2 linked regions of the Medicago truncatula genome follow. Each later gene encodes a partner of the first gene's protein in a complex. Links are inferred from orthologs where the notes say so. Each region holds a gene or a part of one and is shown on either strand. Other genes may lie near its edges.

Region 1 (15,756 bases):
GTGCTTATGTTGCTGATTCTCACCTTGGTCGCTATTGGACTTTTGTCATTGCCTCCCTTATATATTTATTGGTATGCCTTTCATTTACATTATTATGTGCAAAGTCTTGCTGCTTGTTAGTATTTCTCTGATTCTTTTGGGTTGTTCATAATTCATGAGTTTTGGTTAATGGCAGGGTATGTGTCTACTTACACTATCAGTTTCTCTACCAAGCCTAAAGCCACCTGAGTGCCATGAAATGGATGTGACAAAGTGTAAAGAAGCTACCACACTACAGCTAGTTGTGTTCTATGTTGCCCTCTACATTATAGCAGTGGGAACAGGTGGAACCAAACCTAACATTTCCACCATTGGTGCTGACCAGTTTGATGATTTTGACCCAAAACAGAAGGGACTTAAGCTCTCATTCTTCAATTGGTGGATGTCCTGCATTGTTTTTGGGTCACTATTTGCATTCACAGTTATAGTGTATATACAAGATAATGTGAGTTGGACTCTTGGTTATGCTCTTCAAACAACTGGATTTGCAATATCAATCATCACATTCTTGGCAGGCACACCTTTCTATAGACACAAATTGCTTTCAGGGAGTCCCATTAATAGAATGGTTAAGGTCATTGTGGCAGCTATAAGGAAATGGGGTGTAACTGTTCCTGAAGACCCAAAAGAACTATATGAGCTTAGTTTGGAAGAGTATACCAGTAAAGGGAAGTTCAAGATTGATTCCACTCCAACATTCAGGTACAAGTTCTAGCCTACTTTCTCATACTTCTGATGTGTGGTTTTACTAGGAAATGTTGATTCTTGTATTTACAAATGCATGTGTAGGTTCCTTAATAAGGCTTGTGTGGACACTGGTTCAAGAACTAGTAGCGAGTGGATGATATGTCCTATAACACAAGTAGAGGAGACCAAACAAATCCTAAGTGTAATCCCTATTTGGGTTGCTACATTTATTCCTAGTGCAATGATTGCTCAGATAAATACCTTGTTTGTAAAGCAAGGATCTACACTCGACAGAGCCATTGGCAACTTCGATATTCCTCCATCAAGTTTAATTGCAGTTACAATCTTAACCATGATTATCACGTATATAATCTATGAACATTTCTTTGTCAAGATTATGCAGAGGTTGACTAAGAACCCTAGAGGGATTACTCTTCTTCAAAGAATGAGCATAGGATTCATAATCCATATAGTGATAATGATAGTTGCATATTTGGCTGAAAGACATAGACTATTTGTGGCCAAAGAACATGGAGTAATTGAAAATGGAGGACAGGTTCCATTGAGCATATTCATTTTGGCTCCACAATTTGTACTTATGGGAATAGCAGAAGCCCTCTTAGAGGGTGCCAAAATTGAGTTTTTCTATGACCAAGCCCCAGAAAGCATGAAGAGCCTTGGGAGTTCGTATTCCTTAACTACTACGGGCATTGGTAGTTTCCTTAGCACTTTTCTTCTCTCAACAGTTTCACATATCACAAAGAAACATAGTCACCAAGGGTGGATTTTGAACAACCTAAATGCTTCTCATCTTGATTACTACTACGCATTTTTGGCAATACTAAATGCCCTGAACTTCATTTTCTTCATGATTGTCTCAAAAATCTATGTCTACAGAGCTGAAGTTTCAGATTCTCTAAAAGTGCTTGAAACAGAGCTCAAAGAGAGGACAACAGCTATAAGTGTCAAAACAGATATTAGAAGATAATTGTGTTGTGTATATGAAGGGCAATAGGGTGTTTTAAACACCACATTCTTAAGAACAAATTTTGAAAATGTTATATAGCTTAACGATCATGTCTCTGATTATTTTTTATTTTCAACTGTAGTGTAAAAGTTTATTATCCTTCATCTGAACAATGTATTGATAATAGTGAATGTCCTATTGCTAATAATGAATATATTTTAGCTTATAGATTAATAGACTTCATAAAAGCAAGTTAATATTGGTTGTTGAACATTGTCATACAAATAAACAAATAGTCGATCCAAATGAAGTTAATCCCAAATCAAAGCCATTGATATCCAGTGGACATTATCCCTCATCATTCATTGATAAATAACAAACATAAACATGATATGTTTCTCAAAATTAATGACAGTATACAGATATTATTAACAAATCACATGAAAATGTGCCAAATGACAAGTCTAGGTAGCATAGTTTATACCGGCCCAGATGATTCTCTGGTATTATCCAGCCATAATTGCTATGGCATAAAAGTAAAACGAAGTAGCAATAAAGCCAAAGGAACCTGAGCCACCTATCTTTCCAAAATGACTGGCACTGCTTTATTTTGATTTTAGCTATCATCAGTACAGTCACAACCCCTACACATAATACAATACAAATGAAAAGAAAAATCAGGCATCAAACAGGCAGATCTTCCCTAGGAAAGATGAAATTTTCAGCATAATTGGTATTCAAATATAAAATTTTCTTTCACATTTAGATGGATCAATCTGACCCGATTTTCCAATAACAAAAATCCCAACATATTAAGAGAGAAAAACTATTTATATGAACCTAGCATTTTTCAGGCTAATATTTTTGGTCAATAGCTAGAGTTTTGACATGTGACAAAAACAAAACAACCTAAACATAAAACTACCCACGATAAACTCTAGCACAGAAAAAGATAGAAATCATTACATACTATAGCTCCACATGGCATAGCTTTTTTTGAGTTAGACGCTACTTAATAATAATTAATGCTAAAACAAGAACTGTAGAAACAAAGCTAAAGTTTTGGTGATTGTTATTTTTCTGGGTTTCTTTTTTATGGTCAGAATTTGAGCTAAATAATAAAAGGTCTCCTACTTGATTTGAAAAGCTCCTTTCGACTAATTTCTGAAAAAGTTCTTTGCATCTAGTTCTTATAAATAAAAGAAAACCTCCTTTTATAATTAAGAATTTTCAAAAAAAACTGTTTGGCCTAACTTCTTCTTAAGAAGAAGAGAAGTCAAAAATAGGTCAGACCAAACACAATTTTTTACCCAAATATATCTTTTTATATTAGAACGTGTATTCCTATTAAAGCATATCACACAAACATAAATATATGAACAACATGGGAACTGAATGTTACACAAATCAAAGCTATGAAAAAGGAATATCCAATTCAGCCAGCCATATATGAATTTCTAAAATAATTCCAAATACAAGCCTCTAAGCAAAAGAAATGTGTTACTGCCCAGGAACTACTTTAAAAACTAACTTCCCATAAAATTAACCAAACCCTTCAAACTTTCTTTAAGCAGTCAAATTTAACAAGCTACATCCTTTTCTTTGACGGAACAAGCTGCACCCTTAAAATGAGATTTCAACACTAAACCAATTGTTGAGACTCGAGAGTCCCACATTAGATGTGATATGGCCTAAACAATGTTTATAAGTGGGAGGCATTCCTCCTATTACTGCTTGGGTTTGTGTGGTTGAGTTGAACTCAAGAGTTTGTCCTAAATCCAGTCGGTCACCTGTTATCAGGCCACGGATCATGCAAGTTAACTGCAATTTGGCCTAAACAATGTCTATAAGTGGGAGGCACCCCTCCCCTTACTACTCGGGTTTGTATGGTTGAGTTAAGCTCGAGAGTCTGTCATAAATTCATTAGGTCACACGTTATCGGGCCACACGGATCACGCTCCAGATGCGCAGACATGGTCGTGAGGGATGGTTTTGTTGAAAGTCCTGCATTGGATGAGATATGGCTTGAAAAGGTGTTTATAAGGGGGAGACATATTTCACCTTACCAGCCGGCTTTGTGAGACTGTTAGACCTAACCCAAATTCTAAGATAAACATTCAACAGCTATGGTGTTTATAAGGAGGAGACATATTTCACCTTACCCACCGGCTTTATGTGACTGTTAGACCTAACCCAAATTCAAAGATAAACGTTCAACAGCTATCACTTCATAGGAATAACATACTACCATAGTAACAAGCTCTCACATTTAAGTTTTCCAAAGGCATCTCTCATACCTATCTAAACAACTAACATATTAATGTCTGATCCTTCAATTTAAGCTAAATATATTTTTTCATCTATATACCCATGTGTTTATGAGCTATTTTAGTAAATGGGATTAAAAGCAAAATGAGGGTAAATAATTTAGTGAACAACCTTGGTCTAGGCCTCTAACCAGTGGCCTGCAGCAACTCCCTCTGTGCATTCTCTTTAATCCTTCTCTCAAGCTCGGGCCTGAAATGCCTGATAAGTCCCTGCACTGGCCATGCAGCAGCGTCACCCAAGGCACAGATTGTGTGCCCTTCAATTTGCTTAGTCACCTCCTGAAGCATATCAATTTCTTCTAGCTTGGCATTACCAACTTTCATTCTTTCCATGATCATCCAAAGCCATCCTGTTCCCTCCCTGCATGGTGTGCACTGCCCACAGCTTTCATGCTTGTAGAAGTACGAGAGCCTTGCAATGGCATCCACAACATCAGTAGACTTATCCATCACAATCACAGCTGCAGTCCCCAACCCTGACCCAACAGCCTTCAACGCATCATAATCCATCAGAACATCATCACATACATGTTTTGGAATCAGTGGAACAGATGATCCTCCTGGAATAATAGCAAGCAAATTGTCCCATCCTCCTCTAACACCTCCACAGTGCCTCTCAATCAATTCCTTCAGTGGCATACTCATTTCCTCCTCAACAGTGCAAGGCTTGTTCACATGTCCTGACACACAATACAACTTTGTCCCAGCGTTGTTCTTCCTACCAAAACTGGCAAACCATTCTGGCCCACGCCTTAAAATGGTTGGAGAGACAGCTACGGTTTCCACATTTGTGACAGTGGTGGGACAACCATACAATCCTGCATTGGCTGGGAAAGGAGGCTTCAATCTTGGTTTACCTTGTTTCCCTTCAAGGCTCTCCAAGAGAGCTGTTTCCTCACCACAAATATAAGCTCCAGCACCATAGTGGATATGAACATCAAAATCATAGCCTGAGCCACAAGCATTCTTACCCAAAAGACCAGCTGCATAAGCCTCTTTCCTAGCCTTTTCAAGATTTAAACGTTCATTCACATATTCACCCCTGATGTAGATGTAAGCAGCAGTAGCCCTCATTCCCACTCCAGCAATTAAGCAACCTTCTAACAACTTATGTGGGTCGTGGCGCATGATTTCCCTGTCTTTGCAGGTGCCAGGTTCACTTTCATCAGCATTAACAACAAGGTAAGAAGGACGACCATCAGATACTTTTGGCATAAATGACCATTTAAGGCCAGAAGGAAAACCGGCACCACCACGTCCGCGGAGACCAGACTTCTTCATTTCATTAACGATCCAATCAGTACCCTTAATTACCAAATCTTTAGTGCGATGCCAATCACCACGTTTCATGGCACCTTTCAGGAAAGGATCATGCAGCCCATACAAGTTGGTAAAAATCCTGTCCTCATCCTTAAGTCCACCAAAATGGGTTTTCTCTGGAGGTGGAGGTGGTGGTGGAGGCTGCGGAGTACTTGCAGTTGAGGCACCCTGAGTGCTAAATAATCTAACACCAAGACCCAACTTTTCGCTATGTTGTCGAACCAACACTGCCCTCTTTAAAGAAAGAATGCCCCTCATGGTTATCCAACCTGAAAATAATTTCAAGTTTCCAAACAAAACATTTAAGTTAATCAATGCAAACCAAATTGTCCAGAGCTAAAAATAGTCAAATAAAACAATGCTACAAAAATTGGCTATCAACTTTTGGGCTAAACAATAAGATCAGAGCACGTGAGTCAAAAAACAAGTTTACCCACTTAGGCCCTGTTTGGATAAACAGTTTATATCACAAGCACTTATTATGATAAGCGCTTATGTATAAGCTATTTCTAAAGTAAAAAGGTAAAATAAAGTTAAATTGTTTTCGTATAAGCTGGTTTTATAAGCTATCTTGGAGAACTTGTGAAAATAAGCTAAAAACAACTTGTGAACAATGTCATAAGTTTCCCCCAAACAGTCTTACAAAACTTATGTTAGTAGATAAGCTCAAATAAGTCGATCCAATTAGGCCCTTGGTCGTTATCAGAGTTCAGACCGAAAAAAAAAGAAAAAAAAAAACAATTTGGGTTAATCAATTCAAACCAAATTGTCCAAAGCTAAAGATAGTCAAATAAAACATTACAGTTCAAATTTATTTTTTTTAAGAGGACAATAAATTAAAATTGACTATTAACTTTACGGCTATCCAATAAAATCAAAGCACATGAATCAAAATTCAGACCTCAAAAGACAAACTTCCAAATTACCAATTAGTTATAGGCCATAATTGGATAAATAACTTACTTAAGTGTTTATAGCAACACTTATCGTATAAGTGCTTATGCATACACTACTTCTACAACAAAAGCTAAAACAAAACCATAAGTTGTTTTCATAAGCTATCTCAAAGAGCTTATGGACATGTGATAGGCTGTTTCCATAACCTCTTGAAACAATCTCGCAAGTTTTTATGACAGTAAATAAGCTCAAATAAGTCAATCCAAACACACCCATAACCAGAGTTCAGACAACAACAGAGTCTTATCCCACTAAATGAGGTCGGCTACATGGATCAAATTACCCATAATCAGAGTTCAGAGACCCAATTGAAAAATCAAAAGCATAAACTTAAAACACTCAACAACTTTTTGATTCATAACATGCCATATTAAACAAAAAATCCAACAAAACAACCTCCATCAAGCCCCACACATTCAATCCCAACCCAATTCAATCAGATGTAAACTAAATCAATAAATAAATACAAAAAATGGATTTTGGGAAGATTACTGAAACCCTAACAAGAACAAAAAGCGTTGGGGGTAATCTGTATCTACAAATCTAGGAAGAAATAAATTGTGGGTAAGATTGAAATGCACGTGAATTGCAAGCTTGAATGTGTTTATACCAAAAATTGAATGAAAACTAAATTAAAATTATAACATAGATTTGAGCTTAAGCTTAAAAGTAAAAGAATTAGCGTAAATTAAGATAAGGATAAATGGGTTAAGAATAAGATGAAAAAAGAATGAGAGGATGTGAAATTGAAGATGAAGGATGTACCTGCGGATCTAAGAAGTGTTGGAAATGGAGAACCTTGTTGTTCTTCTTCTTGTTTTGTTTTTTCGATTTAGCTTTTTGTTTGGTAGAAAGAAAGAAATAACACGAGTTGGGTTGTTTGAACTTTGGGCTTTTGTTTAGCCACGTTGCATACTTATGAAAAGAGGTTATGGAGATTTAAATGATGAAAGAGATAATTAGCAACAACCAAAAAAATTGATCAAGGGTATGTTTGTATTGACTTGTAAAATCAGCTTATTTATAGCTTATACGAAAAATAATTTAACTTTATTTTAGTAAGAGTATGACCAACGCTTTTTTAACATTCTCTTTAATATTGTCTATCTTATTGTATGAAATCAATGTGGTTTGTTTACTTTGAAAATGAGACTCACATAAAATGGTAGAATTTATATTGATTTCACTCGATAAGAGAGTGGATGTTATAAAGAGTGTTGTTAGCACTGCTTTTATTTTAGTTTTTGCAATCAAAATAGCTTATACATAAGTGTTAATACTTGTGTGAATTTCATCTTTCAATGTGAATCCATGCGGAGACGGCCTTTGGGAATTCGCATACAAAGAAGTTTTTTCTGTGGGGATGTGGATGAGGGAGAAAGTTCCTTTGAGGGTAGTGCGAGTATAGCTGTCAAAATAGGCTACCTGACTTGTCTAGAGCCTTCGGGCCTTATCAGGTCGGACCAAAAAAACCTATTGAAAATATGGGCTTGAAAAAAAAACTATCCGAGTTTGGCCTTATAGGGGACGACCAATATTTTTTGAAAAAGTTAAACTAACCCCTCAAATTGACACCAAAGAGAATCGAACCTGAGACCTTGAGGAGGAGCACACTCCCAGATCCCAAGCCAATACTACTAGACCAACCCAAGTGGTATTGTTAATGTTTCAATGTGGGACTTCAACTTCACTTATATTATGGTATAACATATCTCTTTTACAAGCTACTAAGCACAAACATGATGTAAAGCTTTAGGATATTTTGTTACTTCTCAACGTAATCCTCTTCTTTTTTTTAATGAAGAAATATTGAAGTATCATGTTTCATACATGATATTACCATGATGTGTTTGAACTCTTTAGTTAAACTGGAGAGTTTTTTAAGTGTGTGATTGTTAAGTGTTAAATATAATTAAATAGTTATATTTGAGCAATAACAAATTTATTTACCTTAATGGTATTCATAATAATTATAGATATTGTTTATAGCTTTCATGTGACACGATTTTTAAACCAAAAAGATAATCATAACTTAAGATTTTGTCACAAAAAAAGTTAATATGAGTAGTATAAAAGCAACTTAGATACAATGAGCATAAGTGTATATCAAGCTATCTCATTAACAAAGACGAGTCAAATTATATTTAGCTCAAGTTGAACGCATTTATTTAACGAGCTTAATTTTTATGTCAAATGCAACAGAGTTTATTTGTTTGTTCTCAATAAGATCTATATATAAGCAAATTTCTACATAAGATATGGTAAATATCAATTCTCAGAGCTCTCAATAACAATTGGTTCTTTGAAAACTTCTCACTCTAAAGACATGTTCACAGATACCTTAGAGATACTTGTGAAACATTTATTCATAATTTGCTCAAATTACAATTTCATATTAATCAGTTCACCATAATAATAGTAATATATTTCTGTTTAATGATTTTTCATGTACCATTAGTCCTGAATTTAAATAGTAAGCAAATTCAAGCTGCATATATAGCTTCAAAATGTTGAAAAGAAAACACAACATAGGCTGATTTCATAAAGGATAATTTCATTGATAAATAATAAGGAAGAAAGCAGGGCATAGGTAGCAAACAACATCCATTGATCATCCAATTCCATTTGGAATTATGAACTTAATATTGTTGGAACAAAATTGATTTGTACAATTCCTCTAAGGTTTTGATGATAACAAAGTATTGACGAACAATTGGATATATTAATATTTGTTCAAATGTGCAGGATCATAGAACATATCCATCAAGAGATTGAACATATATTAAAGCGTCGGAAGCACAAGAGAAGCTTAAAAGAATATGGTAGAAGATCTGAAGAAAGGTCAACCGAAAGTCAACATCTTGGATTAGAAGAAAATGACGTCTCTCAGAAGCCGAAGATCAACCTCATTAGACTCGATGAAGATCATCAGACTCGAAAGACCCCTAGACTCAACAGATCGTGAGGGACCCATACTCCACGTCAGATTTGTCGTCTTCTATAGCTATCTCCATCAAAGGATCTGAGTATAATTTTGTCTTCTTCTGATCACGTGTAGAAACAAATAAAGGACTTCAAGGACAAAGAGAATGAAAATATACTTCTAGTTTCAACAAAGGATTTTCGAATGACTATCCAACAAAATTATTCAAATTAGGCAATGGCCCAACATCCTTGATTTGAAGCTTCTCAATGACTCTTAATGTGCTAACACTCTTATTCAATGTCTTTCAAATCCCTGCCTATATAAGCAGCTAAATGGTTAGACAATCTAATATTTATGTATGATAAATCTTAAAATTTATATCAGATCTCCTCACACTTCAAATTAAGGTGATATGTTGAAACGGAAGAGAACTCCAGTCTATCAGTATGTTAGGCGTAGTCTTTAAGTCATGTGAGTATGAAGGTTTATATTATAAGGTATCTATGACAATATTTGTGTACATATGGTCACAAATGAGTAAAAGCATAATTTATACATACATAGTTAGTATAGAGTATGAGATGTAAATATGTATTATAACCTACATTAATAGTAGATGACAGGAGTTCTGAAATCACACATCAAATAATTTGCAATAATATAGTTAACTTTGATTAAATTATGATAAAATATAAATAACACTACGATAAAAACATGTAGACTTACAGATCGGTAGTAAAGATTAGGCTTAATTGCAGTTTCGACACTCTATGTTTCAAGAAGTTGCGATATTGGCCCCCTAACTAAATAAACTACAAAACCGCCTCCTAAGTATTGACTTTTTTGCAGTTTTGGCCCTCCAGACCAATTTTAACAAAGTCAATGCACACATGGACGCCACCTTAAAATGCAAAGGTCTTTAGAAATCAACAAAACAGAAAGAAAAGTAAAATCCTAAAATGCAAAGAACAAACCTCTTACAAATCATCTATCGAAAAAATACCTCAAAAGCAAAGCTCAAACCTTTTAGTAATCAATGAAATGAAAAATTAAATTATAACCGTAAATGCTAGGTTAAGTGGCTTGGACAAATCATGCATCTGAAAAAGGAAAATAATAGTTCAAATGCAAGACTTTTATGAAATAAAATAAAAAATATGTCATGCATGGTTTGAGATATATAGAAAAAATGGTATTGATAAAAAAGAATGGAAGCTAACATCAAGAAATATTGAAGTTGAACGAGTTGAAGAACTTCAACTTTAGTAAAGAAGAAAGAAATGATGAAGAAGATGTGAAGGAGGGAAATCAAAGACATGACAATGACATCATCAGTAGATGTAGAACTCTAACTTCGAAATCACCCATATTACTTTACGAATATGCCCTTGTTGAGGGTAAAATTGTATTTTCTTATATATTCTTAGATGGTTAGTAAATTTTTAGAGCATATCAGCTTGGCGTAATGAGTGGCAGCTGTTGGTGCAACATCATGAAGATGTTTATGTTCATCTTAATTTTTATCCCAAATTCTATTTAACTTTGCAGACATTTGTGATTAAATTCTTCATAATTTTTCATATATAGATGTCCATTGTAAATTGCTACTCACTTTAGCTTCCAAGAGGATGTTTATTAATGTTATTTTTTATATTTTAAGGTTGTTTACTAATGTTGTAAACAGTTACTCTTTATTAGCTAAAACTTATAAAAATACATTCTTTCATATATTTTATATTCTAAATAAATTTTTTAAAAAGTCACGTGAATATATAGTAACCAAACATCTTACACAAACAAGAAATCAAAGTAATTATACGTGCTCATTAACCAAATTTGTTATATACCCTATAAAGATTTTTAAGAAATATTTGAACAAGTAGTATCCAACATATGGACAATATTCAATTATTTGTAAATCCATTCTTACTATATAATTTCATTGCATTCGCTACCACTACTAATCTAAAGTAGATTGATTTCTTTAAGTTGTAAAAACGATTTTACTGTTAACAAATACCTATGTGGTCAGTTTCAGCAACATTGGGGGAAATGTGTCGAGGAAAACCAAGAAAGACTGAGTTCAAAACAATTCATATCAGAGATGTTGTAACTCATTAACGTTATTTAATTATTGTTACTTTTTTTTAATTGTAATTATTAATAATTGGATACTAATGAATATATCTCCATGTTAAAAATATTATGGGACTAGAGACATACAATGACATATATCCTACTTTTGTGTATATTTTTGGTTAGGAAGTTTACCAAAACTAGAAGGCTTACGCATGCATTTACAAACATATTGTGATTTGGAATGGATCGTTGGATCAACAACTTATAACAAATGGATGGAGTGAGATTTGTGAATTTACAACTTATAATACCAGCGTCACGAGGTTGTTTTCTCCTCTTTTTGGGATAATATGTTTTTATTAAAGTTTTTGATCAACACAAAATGCATAGGAGGTTAATCCTAAAAATTAGGCATGTGCATATATTAGACATTACAAAAATTGATGCAAGTATAAAGTCACCAATTTCCAAAAAAGATTCTACCTTGCATTTTTTATTTTAAAAACATCCCTTCATCATTAACACTAGCGAAAAGACGGACACTCACGTGTTATTTTTTATTGCGATAACGTTTGAAAATTATGAATAGTTTTTTTTTATGAAATTTTGATTTTGATTAAAACTAAAAATATAAATGTTTGTTGCTTTTAAGTTATAACAAATCAACGAAAAACAAAAATTTCTTGAAAAAAATAATATTTTACAGGAGGGTGAATCAAAATAAAAATTTTACAGGGTGAAAACCAGAAATGACCTATATTACAGGGGGGTCAAGACCTATTAACCCTTTTATTTATATATAGTATAATTAAATAACATTGCATACAGGTTTGCAAATATTATAAAGTCTTGAGTTGATCATACATTTTCAAATGACTTTCCTTACTTTGTGATTAATGAAGAAATCATGTTGCTCATAAGTAACTTTTTCTTCTTTAATTTGATCGATTTAGAAGAGATCATGTTGCTTGTAAGTTTACAACAGGTAATTTTCCTTACTTTGAGATTATTGAAGAGAGCATGTTGCTTATTAATTTACGAATATTATCAGTTTAAATATTTTTTCTGATCGAATACCGAACGAAACCATTACTCACCTACCCTATTCTAACTCCTCCTAGTGGGCTTTGAACCCATAACGTTTGAGTTTAAGACTTGTCTTTTTCCATTATAATTTTTTTTTGACAAAAATAAAAGATATTCATTTATTCAAATTGATAAAGTACATCGATACAATACAAATTCAAATTCGCTAAAAACAAAAAGTATGAATATGTGAAAAAATCACAACATCCATGTTATTAACATAAAACGGCAAAATACCTATGCCTACAAATATGACTAATATGACTGTATTAAACACTCCAGAATATTCATGTTTCTAGATCTGCAACGTTGACGATGCCAAAGTCATTGTCATTGATAAGATTTGCATTTCTTCAAAGCTAATCTTTCAACCTGAATCAAATAAACACCGCACTAAGGTGAGAAATAAAAAACACACCACACAAAGACTCGAAATCAAAACAAACAGAGTCGTTCAGAGACGATGAAATCACAAAAACAAACGAAAGAAAACAGAAAATATGTTAAATCACTTAGGGCCCGTTTGGATTAACTTATTTTAGAGCTTATATAAAACAGCTTATGTAAATAAATAAGTTTTTATGTATTATTTATAAGTTTTTAAGGTAGTTTATGAAAAAATCGTTAATGAAGATACAATTTTCGTTAATGAGAGCTTATAAATTAAAATAAAAGCTTATTTATTTACATAAGCTATTTTTCATAAGCTCAAAGCAAACGGTGCCTTATTCAATTAAGATATAAGGAAAAACAACTCGGATGAGTGATTTTTGTGTCAAAATTGATCCTAAATCAGCCCTCCGACAAGAAGAAGAAAGAGATGACGACTAGGGTTTGAGAAGGAGAATATCCCTTTTTCTATTATAAAATTAGAATTAAAACTATTGTTTTTTTTAATAAAAAGAATAAAAAAAATCATCTTAAAATTAATTAATTAATGTATATACTATCTTTTTTTTGATCAAGCTGTATATATATTAACTCTAACCTTGAATTTCTTATTTTGTAAAAATAAATAAATAAAGAAATACCTTGAATTTATTAGTTGACAATTCACAATACTATATAACAATAATAGAATAATTTAATTTAATAATGATAATAGCACATTCCACCACAATCATTCACACTTCCATTCTCATCCATTTTCCTTCTTTCCTACAAAATCTCTACAATTTCGGAACTCAGATCATTTCCTTCATCTCCACGCACAGATCCAAATCCCCACTCTTCTCTCTGCGTCAATATCGCTTTTCACCCATTAGATTTTTTTTTTTTTTTTTTTGTATAAATTCATTTTCTGGAGTAGAACAAAGTAAAAGGGTTTTCTTTTCACAACCCAGATTCGTTCTTACTTCGATTCAACTAGTGATGGGTCGCTTTTAGTTTTTTCGTTTTCCATCCTATTTTTATAAAAATTGGATTTTTACTTTTTACAGTTGTAAAATTCTGAATTTTGGGGTGTGTTTTTATTGGGTTTGTTATGATGGATCTTGTTATTGGTGGAAAATTCAAACTTGGGAGGAAAATTGGAAGTGGGTCATTTGGAGAAATTTATTTGGGTATGCACTTTATCAATTTTTATACTTTTTATTTTTTTATTTTTTTTTAATTACTGTATTTTTTGTTTGAATAATTTGGACTTTTTTGATTCAGGTGTTAATGTGCAAACTCAAGAGGAAGTGGCTGTTAAGCTGGTGAGTGAAGTTGTTATGGATTCATGTTGCATGTTTTGGAGTTTTTATGATTCATGTTGCTATGTTTTTGTTTTTAGATTTGTGAATCATGTTGCTAAGTACATATGTACACAAGGGGAAAGCATGTTTTGGAGTTTTTATGATTCATGTTGCATTGTATTGAAGTAACGGTATCTTCTTGTTTTATAGTTTTGACTTGAATTGTGTTGGTGATTGCTTACTAGTTAGTTGACTTTTAAATGGAAAATTTTAGTTCTAATTTTTGTTAGCGGGGAGATTGAATCCACAATCTCCTTATTACTCCGATCACTGTTTAGGGATGATGATGAGTAGAGTTTGGGCAGGGAACAATAGTACTTGTTCCCTTATCCACAATTGGACAAAATACCTGTATCCACTATAGCATAGACACTTTTGATCCAAGGCATGTGCGGTGTCTCATATCGTGTCATTGTCTGACTCGACACTGACACATGTGATTACGTTCAATTGTGTCATTTTTTTAAATAGACACCTGTGTTGATGTGTTCGTGTCAGTATGGTGTCCATGTCTTTGTTAGTAGTTCATTATCCGCATCGGTAGCAACTTCATTACATGTACTTGTACCTACTAGTTACCTAAGTACTTGTACTCATACACGTTACCCAGATTTTGTAGTTTATGTACTTATGTACTTATTTATGGAGTTTGCTTTCCCCTTGTGTCTATATGCATGACCACATGAGTCTGCTTAACTATGCACTCCCCTTCAGTTATGTAAATGTTACATAGATATGAACTGAGTCGTTGGTTTGCGTATTTTGATGTGCCATCCCTTGCTTCAAGATTTGTATACTTCTATTAGGCACGTGATAGAAACTGGTACCAAAGAGAATTTATATATGAATAGTACTAGACTTTTATTGATCACTTCTCTGAAGAATGATTCTCAAAACAGAGGAAGTTGTAATACATATTACAAACACTCACAATCTTGACAGAAATAGAATAAGGAAACAACGACAACAATTTCCCACCAAGATGTTCAAGAGCTTGGTCTCTCTCAATCAAAATCTAATCCAAAATAAGTACCCACTGGCTTTTCATTCCATTTCCCTATTTATTCAATAACTGCCTAATAGTATCTGCTGCCTAATAATTTAATAAAAATACTAATAAGATGTCTAACATCATGCGCTATTAGCCAATGACACTTTCTCAAAGTTGGGTTACTTTAAAATATGCAAGTTTTGGCTTTGTGCTTTATGATGGTTATTTGTTGGTGTCCTATGTTTTTTTCTCGAAGTGCATAACTTAATACATGCGCTAATACTTTTCTCTACGTTTTCATTGGCTTCTCAGGAACCTGTGAAGACAAAGCATCCTCAACTTCTGTACGAGTCCAAATTGTATATGCTTCTTCAAGGAGGAAGTAAGTTTTCGTTTTGCCTTCCTAATTTATACCGGTTCAATTTCTTTTCGTGCTGCCAAAAGTGTTGTTAAATAGCGGCTATAGCAGCGCTATAGCGCAGTGGAATTTGAACAGATCATTTTTGTTCTGAGATACGCTATTTAGTACAAAATGCTGTCAGTCGGTGCTATAACGGCGCTATAGCACTATTGTGTAGTGGAATTCAAACAAATCACTATTTTCTGCGGTATGCGATTGACAGCACTGGCAGCCAGGATTT
Region 2 (15,952 bases), on another chromosome or scaffold:
GCACCTCCATCAGAACATTGAATCACACTTTTCTCCTCTTCATTTTTCACCAACCCACATGAAAATTTTCCTACTTTCCCTTCAGAAACAGAAAGTGTGTCCATTGAACCATTGGTTCCTCCTCCAACATCACAGATTAGGGTTTGAGAACAAGAGAGACCAACGTTAACATTAAACCTTATTATAGAGTTAAACCCCAAAACCCCATTCTCATGATGATCAAATAAAACAGCATCAGCATTTAAATTCATAGCTATAGTAACAGAAAACCACCTATAACACAACACAAAACACAAACAAACATGTGCATGTACATGCGTTCATATTTGAAATGTATAAATCATAAAACCTTTATAATGATAAAACAGGATCATATGAAGGATGAGAAATTCAAACCTGTTTTTGAAACAGATACTTTGTTGTTAGTTTGTTTGAGTTAGAGGAAAGAGGTTGTTGTGGCGAATGTTGAAGTTGAACTGTATGATTGAGATGAGAATGAAACGTAAAATACATGAACTGTGTGAAAAATCTTCAAGAAAGGTTAAAAAAGCGTACCATAGTTTGTTGAGAAAATCTTGATAGCTAAATAACTTTTTTATTGATGTTGTGAATATGTAGATTTGGTGGAAGATTATATTAATTAGTTTCATCTGAATTTATCTCAAAATAAATTATTGGGCCCGATTGAAGTGAATAAAACATCATAATCCATCCAAATCTTGGATATCACCTTATCTTATTTTACCTCTTTTATTGTCACATAAATAAAATCTTATTTCGTTAAATTTTAGTAAGATTTAGTTATAAACTGATATGATAGGATAAGAAAATAAATAGATGATTGATAATTACATAGTCACCGTTAAACAACTTCTGGTGAATAAAATCAACTTCTTATGTGTACAAACTCAAAACATGAAAAAACAGCAGTGGAATTGTTAAGCATTTAGCAACACGAGAGATATTCAAAGTTTTTATCTTTATCTCTTGTTCAATATATCATTTTATGTTGGGAAAACAATATACAAATCAAATATATTGAAAGGAAAATCCTTTTTAATTAGTTATCATACCATAAAAATAAAATAAAATAAAACGAAAGAAAATTTTGCAAAACTCAACCATGTTAATAAGTTTTTTGGTCTTAAACCCTCCAATTCTCATGAGAATTTGATCTAATAATCCAAGTTCAGCTGGATGATAGATAGAGTCTGATTGTGTTCCTAACTAATAAGCAAACAATTTTTAAACGTCGTTTTCCTAAATTTGTGTTCGGTCCTGCCGTGGACTTTTCCTTGATTGTCAAATACTGATACTCCTTAGACAACTCATTTCATTCAATGATAATAACCTGCCAGGATATGTTACATTGTTCACAATTGCATGACCATTGTTGAATGAAATAACTCAATTCCATCCCACTCAAACGGATGAAGAATATCAACATAATTAACCAATTTAACTATATTATTGGATGTCGTCGTAATCTCAAATTTCATTTCACTTAAGATGATAAATTGATGTACAGAGTACATAAAGACATAGATAACACTGAAGTGAAATAATAAACAAGCCAAGTGATTTGTGGCGTTTTATGGAACAGAGCCATCCAGGCCAGTTAATACAAAAATTGGTTGAGCATCTAATAATTTGACAATGTTCAAATTAAGGCAAGCTTGATGATGTGCAAGCCTCACATTATTGAAGGCAAAAGGTACCACATACACACTTCAGCAGGCATCCAGGTCACGGCATGGAGGAGGTTTGGGCTCACTTAACAATGTAGTATTCCCTCCTTCAGGTGCACTCCTAATCCGATGTGGATTTTGTGTGCCGTGCTAAATACCAAAAGAAAATCATATTCAGAGAAGGTTAGAGTATGTTTGATTTCAGAAAACATTTTGATCTTTGAAAGCATATGCTGAAAAAAGGAACAGTTTTGCAGCTAAAATATAAAATGAAAACAGAATGTTTTCTCAACAATGTCGCTGAGTATCTAAAACAATGACAGTAACGAAATAGATCATGGTGATTACTCTTACCGGTGGCTTCTCACCCTTTCTCAGCTTTTCCACTATCTCAACTACTTTCTCTGGGGTCACATCTTCCTGCAATCAAGCATCAATATGACATATTAAGAGTTCTTCAAAAGTACACGCACACTAATAAACCCCTCCCCAAAAAAAAGAGTGAAAAGAGGAAAGGCATACATAGTAATTATAAGTATATCCTTCTGATCCATTAGAGTAATCAGCCACTGTAATCATGGGAGCATTCACACAGCATCCCTGCACAACACCAACAACTTCAATCATGCATTAGCTGCTAATAAAACAGTGGTCAAGATCATCACATTGGCACTCCTTTGGACTTCATAAAGAACTCTAATAAGGTCTGGACACATAAACACCGATCATAGGAAAACACATACCAACCACCATGGTGATTCTCATCTTTCTCAGTTATATATTAATGTCATAAAGGTCATTTTCTTCGGCTAAATTTCTAAGGGGTTATTTGGATAACTTTATATGACCTTTCTTTATAAAAAAACTAATGTATGGCACAGTCTATCTTGCACCAAGAAAACTTATGCAGTCAAGAGCTGGTACTGTGCCCTGTCTTATTTTAGCAGCAGTTTAAACTTCCTGGCTGGCAAATACTAAAGCCAACCAGCTCGGCCCGCTGCATTATAACTTCACATACTGAAAACGGAAAAATACTCGAAATTACACACTATATCAAACATCAAAGATATCCATGTATCAAATATCAAACATGTCCAAGACTATTGAAATAATGACCATCAGAAAGTCCAATTTTGTCCTTCATGTAATTCATCCCTATATACAATGATTGCCTCAGTGCAAATAATTACTACAGCATTGAATACTAGGAACCATCTTGTGTTACTTCTGCAACAGAAAAACTCACCATGCATTCCATTTCTCCAACAGAAAAGAAACCATCTTGTGTTACTTCTGCAAATCAAAGGTAAAACAAAACTAATTCTTATGAAAAAGATACGGTTCAAATTTATCAAGAATAAAATCAGGTTCATTGATAAATGGAGAAATTAGCAAAGGTGAACTAACCATTTCGTTTCACTCCCAAGTGTTTCAATAAAGCTGCTTCAATTTCCCGTGAACCTCGTATCATACAAGGTGTTGTTCCACAGACCAATAAATGATATTTGCCAACCTGAAAATTCAAAGCAGGCGGTTGATCCAGTAAGTTTTGGCCTATACTACTGTGAATTAGCAGAAATAAAAGCAACGCAGAAGAAATGACTTTCACCTTAGATCTATTGAACATTGAGTAAAATGTGGCAACCTCATATACTCGAATAGGGGCAACCTCTATAACCTTAGCCACCTGAATGATTCACAAAACTGTTTGTTAATAAAGGATTTAAATAGCTTCTACCATTATTAAGAAATTTATTATTCAGTTTACAAACAATATGTAAATTTAGGACTTTCGGTGGTGTACCATAGCAATAGGAAATTACAAGCAAAACTCAATTAAATTGATCTGATAGGAACTAGAACAGAAAATTAAGAAATTAATGGATAAAACACTGTCACTGAATAAAGGGAAATAATGGAGAACGTATCAAGTATTATTTATGAAATGGAAAATACTATCAGTGGAATCACATTCACACTACCCAGAGCATGCTACATAGAAGAATACTCTCTGCTTCTTTATGAAGCACGGACACTCCTCGAATTAGGTGTGTCCCGATGTCGGACACATGTCGTGTCCAACACCAACACGACACCGACACATATAATTACACTGAATTATGCGATTTTCTCAAATTATTAGCGGTGTCAGTGTCCGTGTCGTGTCTGGTGTACGTATCCGTATCCGTGCTTCATAAACTCACCAATGATTTCAAAGATACCCGTTCACTCCCCTTTGTATCCATATAACAAAATTAATCACAACTAGTCCACCCCCACTCTCTACCACGTCAGCATTCTCTTCCTTGCTCTTCTTATATTTCCTAAAAAATATCCCTACGCCGTGGGCTTGGGCAGCTGATGGGGCATCAGCCCATTTGAGCCTAAATTCACATTGGGGCCTTAACATAAATGATAGTGACTACTTATATAGAAGAATGTTGAGTACATTTTTTTTTTTAAGGAAAAGAGTGTTGAGTACATAAACAACCAAACCTTGATGCATGCATAGACTTAAAACATAGAATGGTTAGTCTTCTAGATATCGCCAGCAATAATAACCAAAGCCTTTTTCAATTGTGAAAGGTCTGCTACACAAATCAATGGATGCTATAAATGGTGGTTTGTGAGTTGTGACAGCAAATTAAAAATCTATTATAAAAATTTAAGTTTATTGGATAGCGTTGATGCCTATAACAGAAATATGGTGGCTGTTATAAAAGTATTACACGCGTACACAGCATACCAAAAGTTTTATAATATGATAAAATGAAAAATTAACACACCAACAACAATAAACTACAAACACATTGCAAGAAATAAAATACACTGAAAGCAACATAATTCAAACATAGGATAGAAGACAATACCATGGGTCTCATAACATAGTTTTAAAATTAAGGCCAATTTGTAATTTTCCTGCTAAAATCCAATAGCAGGTCAGGATCCGCTACTGCAAACCAATATAGCAGCTACAGCGGGCACTATCTGGAACCGTGCCGTTACGACACCCACCATAGCGGTTTCTTGTTGCTACGCCTCTATAGCGCGCTATTGACTAATCTAATGGGAACCATCTTAAAAAAGGCTGCCATGAACTACCATTCAAATCTAAACTCAGTGGATATAAGGTAGGCTTGGTGGTGGGGTGAGACCGTGGTGGAGTTAAGGAGTGGAGTGATAAGGTGGTTAAGAGTTCTATCCCCACACAAAACATAACACTGACATTTGTCATTCCAAAAAACAAATGTATAAACCCCTTTAAATAGTCTAGCCTATAGTTGAATACTATGATCTTCCTTCACTTCTACCTGTTATACAGTATCTAATCTGCCCTTTGTTCCTCTTTGCTATATTTACAGGTCTTCTCCAAACATGCCCCAACTACCGAAGGCAATAATCTTTAATCTTTTTTACAACAGATGCTACCCCCAGCTCTCTATACAAAGCTATCATTCTGATCTTATCTTATCTGGACTTAATAAGAATATTTCACGAAAGAGTTCAACATACCGCATCCATTGCAGAAACAGGAAGCCAACCTCCATGCTGCTGCTGGGCAAGATCCAGCAGAGGAATCACTGCAGATTGCTTATAGTTGGATGGATAGTGAGATATAATCTCCTTAACCTATAATTAACAGAGATTAAAATCATTGGAACTTTAGAATCTTAAAAACACATCCTAGAAACTAAACAGGATCACATACATAATATCAATACGGAACTAATAATCCAAAAATCATAGAAACATTATTGATTAAACCAATCAGTAAAGCATATATATTCATAAATTCTACACCCTCTTATGCATTATTTTCTGCTCTAATTAGCTTTTAACTCTAAATGTTAAACTCAATTAATCATCAATAATCAAAGTAAAGGGTAATGAGCTGAATTACAGCTACATATTGATAAATCATCACACATTCCAAGTTTGAAATTTTAGAATTTGAAAACAATAAAAAAATTACCTTTGCTTTGTTAGCATCATTGAATTCCCATGGAAGATTGGGATTATTGTCCGGAGAGTCAAGGTGCTGCAACCCAATTCAAAAATTGATACAATCAACAATCACAACATTGAAAATGAAAACTAAGAAAAGGATAATTTGAAGAACACTTACGTAATTGAGAGCGGTTGAGAAAGCCCTTGATGGCTGCGAAAAAGGGAAAACACGGAAGAAAAAAAATCAAACAAATTGAAGATAAAAACGAAGAAGAAATAGAAGTGAGAGATTGAAAAGAAAACCTGATGGAAAGTTTGACGGATCTGGTTGAGACGATTTGCGGCGAGGCGTGCTAGCATTTTGGGAGGAACAAGGTGAAACCAAACAATGGATCGGAGGGAGGGGGAGAGAGAGAGAGAGAGAGAGAGAGAGAGAGTAGTGAAGAAGGGTGTAGTGTAAGAGAATGTAGAGATGTGGCACCTTGATGACCGTTCGATGATAACAATTTTATGTCGACACATGTATGGATGAGATTGCGCGACATTTTGTTTGGGTTCAAAACTTCGAATCTCGTCATGGGCATGTACCAGGGTTAAACTCTTGTGATTGTTGGCCGATCATTTTGGTTTGTATGACATTTTCGTCACTTAGGTAGTAGTAATATGTTTCTTTAGATATTTATACTATATACGAGGTTTTAGAAAGATTCTGGGCTGATTTTTGTTATTCTAATTATACTCTTAAACAAAATTTATATAATAACTGGTGAAAAGACGAATACAAGTATTCGTCTTTTCGTTCTTTTTATCGCGTTAAAGTTTGAAAATTATGAGCGATATTTTTTTATGAAATTTTGATTTTGATTAAAAGTATAAATATAAATTATTGTTGCTTTTAAATTATAACAAATCAAACTAGCATTGTTTACCTATTTCAATGAGATCAAAAATATAATAACAAAATATAATTTAAACTCTTATTTTTGTAATGACACCGACAACAATCATTATTAAAGAAAAAATTATTTTATAGTATAATTCGGATAATGAAAAAGTCAGTCCAAAATCTTATATAGGTTCGGTCTAGTTTGTTTCACTTTTTAAAGCATAAAGAAAATTTGGACATATATTCATATCGTGTTTGTTACATTTTTTATTTATTTTGAATTCACTGCATCAATTATCTTTTTTAAAGGAATAAAGGATAAGGAAAAATCCTCGTGAGCTTAGCTCAGTTGGTAGGGATATTGCATATTATATGCAGGGGCCGAGGTTCGAACCCCGGACACTCCACTTCTCCATAATTTAATTGTGTAAGCTCTAGCCACTAGGCTACTTGACAACAAAAAAAAGATAAGGAAAAATTTGATATTTCGTAGACAATAAATATTGAATTTTTTACACTCTTTAAGTATTTGAATTTACTATTATCTATTTATTATAAGTGTTATTTGTATTTAAAGTTTGGGGTAATATGAGAAAAAGAAAATGTCATCCCAAAAAGGTCAAAAGGGGCTATTTTTTATATATAGTATAGATATAGATATTTATGCTTATAATTTTAATCTATATCATATTGTTGGTGTTATTTAAAAAGATAAGAATTTTTGTTATATTTGTTATATTATTGTTGTCATTGAAAAATGTAAATATGATTTGTTGAGTTTGTTACATTTGAAAATCACAAATATCTATACTTATAATTTTAATCTATATAAAAAAATCTATATAAAATATCGTTTGCAATTCACACGCAAAAAATTTATAAAATATAGTTCATAATCTACACGTGTTAAAACAATAAAAAACGGAAAGACGGCCACATGAGTGCACGTCTTTTTGCTCGTTAAATATAACATTAGTAATATGTTGTCTAATATCGCTCGTTGTTTATGATATTAAATATAACATTTGATGATATTACTAACGTTATAAGAATCGACAGAGACGCATGTATAAAGTTCAATGATTATGTTAAATGATATTTAATTAATCATATTTATTTAATTATATATACTTTTGTTCAAAAAAGAGGGTTGAAATTTAATTAATTAAATATGAATTAATTTAATTGATATTAGACTTACTTTGGGTTAAACCCAATCTAATAAGCATCAAGGGTTTGGTGACTTGTTCTTTATAAATAGAAGAAGAGCATGCACTACTTAAGCATGTAAAACTTAATAGTCATAATCCCTCGCATGGAACGGATATCACAATGTTTCAATTTGTGCTCATGTGGATTGAGTAGAGGCGATGTCGTTTGTGCGAGGCTCATGACCATCTTGCATCGTTTCCCATCATCACTTCAACACATGAATCTTTAACTGTGTTTAGGTTTCCATTTGAATTGTGATTAATGGTTTAATCAATATTCGTTATTGGGATTGTTTCGCTAAAAGGATTAAATTTTTGAAAACTCCTCTTGAATCCCCCAACAAATGTGTAGTAAACTTACACTTTTAATTGTTGGGTACATTTTTTTTAGAGTTGTGTTAGTTTGACCTCAAAGCTTGCCATTTTAGATGCATTACATAATTTTATTTTATTTTTGTTTTGATGGATTACATAATGTAATAGTATATTGTTAATTATGTTGAGTAAATGGTTAATGAATATTATGATATGTTAGAATTCGTAAGCCATCCACACACACTAATTATTCCGTTTGATCACTTTGTAAATATGAGTCAAGTGACAATGTAGATCAAAAGGTATACCGAAATAATCTCACTTAACTTCAGCTAAGCTAATCTTTAGATATATCTTACTGCTAACATTGGTTTATTTTGCAAAAAAATCATTTGAATACGAGTTACTATATTAATTATATAATGCTAACTATGTTGGAGATAAAATTAAAAGAAAAAACACTAGTGGTATCTGTCAATTTATTGGCGAAAGTTTATGCTTATATTAAATCAAGAGGCAAAGCACAATTGCCCTATCTACTACATAAGCAAAATACATCTTGTCAACAAGGTATGTCACATAACTTCTATGGATGAAATATCAACTTGAAGGTTACCAAACCAATGAGAGTAACATTTCTATGAAAAAACATATGTTATCTGATTTTCCAAAAAACCTATTTTACACTAGCGACAAAGCATATTGAAATTAAACATCATTAGATAAGAGACTCTGTTTAGAATGGTATTTATGAAATTAAGTTCATTGATAATGATCGTCAATGGAAAAACATTTTTACGAAACCCCTTGTCAAATATAAATTTAAACATTTACGTTTTGTGTTGATAAACCCCTTTGTCTTTCTCTTTCTCTCTGTTCTCTCACTTTTCTCCCTTTCTCATTGTGTTAATTTTACAGGTTGAAAATGATGAAATTTTTTTTTGAGGTAAATATCTTTAAATTTGTTTATCTTAAATAATGTTGAAACTAAAACTCAAATGTTTTGCTTTCTTAAATAAGAGTTGTTTTCAACTTATTATTCATATTTATGTTTTCAACTGATTTATGATTAGTTACGTGGTTTTCAACAAACAATGTTGGAACTTTTTACGAAGGCATTTTACTTTCTTGAATAATAGTTGTTTTTAACTGATTATTAAAACATGTATTTTTTCAACCAATTTCTTATTATCTACGTGCTTTGTGTATATTTTTTCATAATTTGTTCATATGTTTTATTAGAAGAAACAAGATATATGAAGGCGTATTTCCATCATTGTTTTCCCTTTTTTGAAAGTTGGAGGTACAATGTCTTGAACGAACAAAATATTTTCAACTAAGTCTAACTACATCGTTAATAAATATAAGTTTTTTTGTTTTTGTTGAGAATTAAAAAAATAATTTTTACCTCATACCATTAGAATTCTTGATACATTTTCACAAAAGCATTCATGAAGCATTGGTATCCGATACTCCGTGGATACATATCCAAAAGTATCCATGAAACATTGGTATCCGATGCAATATGTCTCCATTTTGGAGTATCCTAGCTTGCACCATTAATCCACTATGCTTAAAAATAAGGGAAATGCTAACCGGTACTCCCGGGGCACTGGTTAAGGATAATAAAAAGGAAATTATATGTTAATTATTGCATTGAAAATTGTTTAATTAATCCATAAATAAGTCAACAAAACTTCATTTTATGGTAATAATTTCCCTTTTCAATGCAATAATTAATATATAATTTCCCTTTTTATTATCCTTAACCAGGACCCGGGGGCACCGGTTAGCATTTCCCAAAAAATAATATGGATCAAATAAGGTGTTAGAATATTTCCATTTCATTTGCATTTATTCAATTTGGTGAAATATATATAAAAAAAAAAATTGAAAAAAATTAGAAAATAATTAATGGGCGTGGAATCACAGCCGTTGTTTGTCCCGCAGCAAAACCGCTATGAACGGACACGATTTAAACGCATGTTGAATCGTAACGGTATAACATAGAATATCGTGCTTGAAAGAACAGAGAAGCAACGCGGGAAAACTCCATCACAGTCACGACCGAGCATAATGCCGGAGCTACCGGAGGTAGAGGCGGCGAGAAGAGCGGTGGAAGAGAACTGTATCGGAAAGAAGATAACCAAATGCATCGTCGCCGATGATAACAAAGTCATCGACGGTGTCTCTCGCGAAGAGTTCGAAGCTTCCGTTGTTGGGAAGAAGATTGTTGCAGCTCGCCGGAAGGGGAAGAATATGTGGCTTCAGCTTGATTCTCCTCCTTTTCCTTCCTTTCAATTCGGTACTCTCTATCTCTCTCTCTCTCTCTCTCTCTCTCCCTCTCACTCTTACCTTTTGAAACCCTAGCTTACGAGTTTCTTACGATTTATGATTGTGACTGTGTTAGGTATGGCTGGTGCTGTATACATCAAGGGTGTTGCTGTAACAAAGTATAAAAGGTGAGGCCAATGGAGTGTCGTTAAGCTCGGTTACACCGACACTTCTGATTGAAAATGTGTTCGATGTTTGACACATGTCAGTGTCCAAATGTGAATTATATTCAATTGTATGTATATTTTTTTAAAGGTTCTTGCTAACCGGTGCCCGGGGCACTTGTTAGCATTTCCCTTTAAATAATTATAAGTGTTGACGTTTTAGGGTTGTGTCTGCGTGTACGTGTCAGTGTGGAGTGTTTCATTGTCGTTAGCTATCAGTGTGCGAGTGTTTCATTGTCGTTAGCTAATCTCTACTTCACACGTTATACTCAAGTTTTAAAAAATTCAATGATATAGACTCTCTGATTATAATGCATTTTCCAGATTTACAATATCATGTTTCTTTTTTGTCAAGACTTTGTTGGATTGGATTGAGATTTATAGTTTCATTAAAGTGATTTTTTTGCTTTCTACATCAATATAGGAAATTTATGTATGAAACTAATTACATTATAATTTGTAGTGCTACTAAGAGCTACAAGCTGTAAAATGTTTTGCATGGATACTCATTCTCATGTGTTGAGCTGAATTGGATCCCCTGGTATATATAGCGAATGTTTTTTAAGTTTTACATTTTCTTGAAGACATATTTATACTCTCGGGCTGCAAATTATCAGAGAAATGCTGTTATCTATATTTTTTCATCTATGCAACTAGGTGACTGTGTCTGGAGAACACCGACGAATGTTGGCATTTTATTAAGTTCATGATTCATGAAATAGTATGAAAATGTAAATTTGAATACGAAAATGTTATTTTGCGGTGTTTGAAGCATACACGTGTAACAAAAAATTATTTGATCCAAGCTCAGATGTAAAATTATGGTAGGAATTAACTTCAGAATGCGAATTAACTTTAAGTGCTCTCATTAGGGTAATTTCTTATTTATCCTTCTGTGTAATGGGTGGTACAGTTTTTAATTTGATTTTGAGCTAATATTCCATACCTCAATGAGCTTTGTGTGTTATTTTGCTGCAATGATTTGACACCTATAAGTTCTCTCAGTGGTTAATGTAATGATATAAACTTCTTCACAGGTCTGCTGTAAATGACGAGGATGAATGGCCTTCCAAGTATTCAAAGTTTTTTATTCAGGTAACAACTGTCACTCCTTTGATGAGCAGAATGCTTTGAACTTTACCACTTGAGTCTTTGGGCTTGTAACAACTCAGAATCCGATGCTATGTTTTTTATTTGATGAATGATGACAAATTGAAGTGGACTGTTTGCTGTGGACTCGTAACTCATAAGATCTGTGTTCAGTTGTAAGATGCGATTAGCCTATATGTTAGAGTTGGGCTAGAGTCCATCTGTGACTACTATATATCATACATATGCATTTGTCTACATCCATACGTGATTTCATGGTGCGAGAAAACATTACTTTTCTTGTCAATTACAAGGACACAAACCCTGGACATGGACACTGATATTGTCCAAAATGTAAGACAACAACACGAATATTTTCCAAAACTTTGAATGTTCAAGTTTTTTAAGATTATTGAGAAAATGGGGAGAGTGAACATGTTTGGAGCGAGAAAATGCTATGTATTCACTAAAAGCTCTTTAGAGGCTGTCTACTGTTCCATGACATCTAACCTTTATTTATAGTACACTAGGACTCTGATCACACAATGTAGTTTATATCCCTTGCTTAGAAGGTATAGAACAAACTAGGTTCTTAACCTGTTGGATTAAGCCAAGTGCTCTTACTCCCTAACACATTGGCAACTTCAACTGATGGATTAAATTTCACAAGAATACAAAGACCATACAATACCTTGAAGATCAAATAGACGAATATATGTTATAGTTTTTATTTTTTTGTTATAGTCGATGAAGGGAGTTCTTCACTTTAACATGTATACGGGAAAGAAAAACTTTCTATATTTCTGTGAAGCAGAAGGGTGTAAGATTCTGATTACATTCAGTTTGTAAGTTTAAGTTTTTTCTGTAAAATAGCTATGTGAAAGCTTGTGTCAGGAGTTTTTTTGTATTGTCATGTGGTGAGTTTCATGCTTGTTTCCAATTTGGTGGATATTATTTTGGGGCGGCAGTGCTTGTGAAGATGTTTTGTAATGTCGTCATGTAATGACATATATTTACTTTCATGTTACATACTGTGGTTTTAAATTTTTATTAAATTCTAGTCTGTAGATGTAGTGAAGCATTTCGTTGAGATCCCACACCCGTCGGAGATATTGTTAAAATATTCCCCTTGTAAGACTTGGCCTATCCTCATTCCTTGAGCCAACTTTTGGGGTTGAGTTAGCTCTCCAAATTTGAAGTCATTAGATTTTCTCAACATCTGCAGTTTGAACTTTCTACATGTTTCCTCGCATTTGACTTTTTTTATCTTTCCATTTCATACATAAGAGCATAATCGGTATGAAGTTGTGCCTCTGTGCTTAGGGGATTTGTCTTTTGATTTTTCAATTTTCTTCGCATGCATAGTTAGCTTTGATATTTGATGATATGTTTCCCTAGTGAGTATTGTCATTTATGTGAGCTTCAAAAGAGTATTAACCAGATTAAATCACATTGCTGCAGCTAGACGATGGTTTGGAGCTGTCTTTCACCGACAAAAGGCGATTTGCTAGAGTTCGCCTGCTCAAAGATGTATTGTGACCCTACTTGCAAACTGTCATCCATATTAATAAGAGTTTGATATTAACTGTATTTTTTTCATGATATAGCCGACATCAGTGCCTCCCATATCTGAGCTTGGACCTGATGCACTTTTTGATTTCATGACACTTGATGAGTTTACTGAGCGTTTGCACAAGAAGAAAACTGAAATCAAGGCTTTATTACTAGATCAAGTATTAACTGCTTACTTTTATCACTTCCCAAATATTTTATTTTTTTGTCTTTTAAATTTTTAATTTGTTTATTTATGATCAGGATATAATCATTATCTTACTATACATGTGCATTCTTTTTCTCTGTTTTTATATTGATACGCTAACTTGAGTGTAGTTTTTCTTAAAGCAAAGCCCTTTACATTTCTGATTTCTGTGTCTTTTACATCTTTCTCTTGTTGCGCTTTTACAATGCATAAGAATCTGATGTTCCAACTTTATATTCCTGTTGACTTTAACATTTATTAAAGATATAAAATTTCCATCCTCTGCAGAGCTATATTTCAGGCATTGGAAATTGGGTTGCAGATGAAGTGCTGTACCAAGTAAGTGGATCTTTTATCTCCTCAATGATTTTGATCTTTGATATTTTCCATGTATTTTCTTAACTATTGAAGATTTTTGAATGTATAACTTATTAAATTTTAATTCTCATCTAAACTTGATCTTTTTAGCAATTTAAATGTATGGTGATATAATGGTTAATAGGCAGTGATCACATATGAATTCAAAAAAAATCAATGAACTTAATTGAGTTTTAATAGACTAATATCATATACTTGGTTGTATTAATATTGCATCAGCAAGATGATCGTTTTATCTAGTCCTCCCTAGGTTTCTTTTATATCCTTGACCTTATGCTGATTGAACAGATAGATACTTGTTCATGTTATCAAGATTGAGAATGGTCTGAAATCTAGTTGGAATGGGAAATAAATGAATAAAGCATAATTTCTTTTTATAAGAATTATATTGGAACGTATGATGCTTATTAGTTGCTTTTAGTCTTATATATGAAGATTTATTGTGTCTGTGTGTGGGTATACATATAATAAAAAGGGGATTTGATCGTTAGGCTGTCACCTTGAGGAACAATTATGCTCTGTAAGAATATAAAATGAATATTGAATTCAGAGTTGTGTTCTTAACTTATTATTTGGGTACTGAAATCATCTACCCTTATACAGAATTGAAATTGGTCTAGATGATTCTATAAGCTGTTAGCAACTATTATTGTTTACTAGAATTTTATAATTCAATTGGTCAAACAATTAGGAACAATTTGGAATCAAATGGTCTGTCACCGGACAAGATTCATGATGAAACATTATGACATTGTTTGATTCATGAGGCCAATGCTACTTAATGAGAAAGGTTTTAGAGCTGGTGGTTGTTTTTGCATCTGTATTTATTAATTATTTATTATTAGGAATTTAGGAGGCAGGTGCTTCAAATTTTTGGAAATAGCATTTCACTGGATTTAGTATCTGCTCCGGCCTTCTTTTTTGTATTCAGCGGCTAATAAACTACTATTCTAGCCTTGGAGAAGATCAAATTCGATAATTTACTCCATGCCTTGTAAATGTAAGTTGTAACTTATTGTATTTCCCTTGTTTCCAGGCAAGGATTCATCCACGGCAGATAGCTTCTAGCCTATCAGGAGAAAGCTGCTCAACTTTATATAAGTGCATTAAAGAGGTAGGGACGCTGGTTCCCTTTAAATTGCTTATTGTTCTGGAACGTCTAGACTCCTTAAAAAGTACAGAGGCTAAAACCTGTAGGTTATTCAATTTGCGGTTGAAGTTGATGCTGACTGTAGCCGTTTTCCCCTTGAGTGGTTATTTCATTTTCGATGGGGGAAAAAGCCTGGAAAAATAAGTGGTGAGGAATACTGTTTATTAATCGACAAATAAATTTATTTTACAGGTTGTCGAAAAAGCAGTTGAAGTTGGGGCAGATAGTAGTCAATATCCCACTAATTGGATATTTCATTCCCGTGAAAAGAAGCCCGGCAAAGCTTTTGTTGATGGTTTGCTTCCCTACTTTGAGTAAAAAATAAAAAACTAATATTTTTTTTTGTGCAACATGAATCGTACCCTTTTACTATGGTATTGAGCTGCTTATATTTTAATTTCATATGCAATTTCCCTAAAATTGTAGTAAATTGCATGACTTGTATTCTTATTTTTTTTTATTACAGTAAAAAATAAATAATACAAGTGTTATTCAATTCCCTAAACTTGTATTCTTGATTGGTGTGATTTACTATTATTGGATTCATGTTAAAATTGAAGCATCCAGAGTGCCTTCATATTATTGGGGAATGATTACGTTACAAACGAAGTTTTAATATTTGTGGAGAGTGTGACGTTGTAGTAATATATTATACCTTGATTGTTTTGAAGGTATTAAATGAAATAATTAATAATAATTGAGTATTCCAGTTTGAAACTCACGGGTTTCTCCTATTGAGTCAAAGCTCTGTTACTATTTTTATGCGTATTTCTAAGAAGAAAGTATGCCAATCTTCACAATGCTTTCAAAAGGGTTTCTGAAAGTGGCTGATGTTCTCATTTCTCCTTGGCTCTTTTTTACGTACTCTGTTTTTTTGCTATGCCTACATATTATATGAAACACACTCTGCTTTTTTCGTCCAATAATAACAAATGAAAATATGTTTTCAGTGCCAAATCCAAACATTTATAATTTTCATGTGATTGCAGGGAAAACGATTGAGTTCATCACTGCAGGTGGCAGGGTATGC

The links.
Region 2: the proteins of NADH dehydrogenase [ubiquinone] flavoprotein 1, mitochondrial (region 1) and NADH dehydrogenase [ubiquinone] flavoprotein 2, mitochondrial are in contact, whole or in part, in a cryo-EM structure (PDB 9F5X), measured with the Chlamydomonas reinhardtii proteins. The link is inferred for Medicago truncatula from reciprocal best matches to the Arabidopsis thaliana genes CI51 and AT4G02580. Residues at the interface, in XP_001702590.1 of Chlamydomonas reinhardtii: Asp58, Glu59, Arg61, Phe63, Gln64, Asn65, Ile66, Tyr67, Arg69, His70, Met78, Ser79, Arg80, Gly81, Tyr84, Met85, Glu88, Ile89, Lys92, Trp96, Gln100, Tyr133, Glu142, Pro143, Gly144, Thr145, Cys146, Arg149, Glu150, Arg153; in XP_001698508.1 of Chlamydomonas reinhardtii: Thr42, Arg79, Tyr80, Pro81, Tyr84, Gln86, Ser87, Ile89, Ile90, Pro91, Asp94, Val95, Glu125, Val126, Phe129, Tyr130, Thr131, Met132, Phe133, Gly147, Thr148, Thr149, Pro150, Arg152, Leu153, Gln154, Glu184, Met185, Glu186, Cys187.

What each region holds. Positions count from the first base shown.
Region 1 is NC_053042.1:16,128,844-16,144,599, forward strand, and holds NADH dehydrogenase [ubiquinone] flavoprotein 1, mitochondrial, read right to left. Parts: upstream 7,238-15,756; 5' UTR 7,063-7,237; intron 5,610-7,062; 5' UTR 5,599-5,609; coding exon 4,147-5,598; 3' UTR 4,133-4,146; intron 2,338-4,132; 3' UTR 1,967-2,337; downstream 1-1,966. Other genes in the region: protein NRT1/ PTR FAMILY 5.2, read left to right, coding at 1-71, 176-741, 829-1,714; casein kinase 1-like protein 10, read left to right, coding at 13,872-13,950, 14,045-14,085, 15,428-15,497. UniProt on the Arabidopsis thaliana protein: Core subunit of the mitochondrial membrane respiratory chain NADH dehydrogenase (Complex I) that is believed to belong to the minimal assembly required for catalysis. Complex I functions in the transfer of electrons from NADH to the respiratory chain.
Region 2 is NC_053043.1:51,108,323-51,124,274, reverse strand, and holds NADH dehydrogenase [ubiquinone] flavoprotein 2, mitochondrial, read right to left. Parts: upstream 6,098-15,952; 5' UTR 5,997-6,097; coding exon 5,940-5,996; intron 5,848-5,939; coding exon 5,815-5,847; intron 5,728-5,814; coding exon 5,662-5,727; intron 5,319-5,661; coding exon 5,202-5,318; intron 3,376-5,201; coding exon 3,298-3,375; intron 3,202-3,297; coding exon 3,096-3,201; intron 2,982-3,095; coding exon 2,935-2,981; intron 2,289-2,934; coding exon 2,211-2,288; intron 2,109-2,210; coding exon 2,043-2,108; intron 1,839-2,042; coding exon 1,731-1,838; 3' UTR 1,476-1,730; downstream 1-1,475. Other genes in the region: uncharacterized protein, read right to left, coding at 1-251; formamidopyrimidine-DNA glycosylase, read left to right, coding at 10,125-10,353, 10,459-10,510, 11,584-11,641, 13,097-13,165, 13,243-13,368, 13,683-13,733, 14,809-14,886, 15,115-15,217 and 1 more. UniProt on the Arabidopsis thaliana protein: Core subunit of the mitochondrial membrane respiratory chain NADH dehydrogenase (Complex I) that is believed to belong to the minimal assembly required for catalysis. Complex I functions in the transfer of electrons from NADH to the respiratory chain.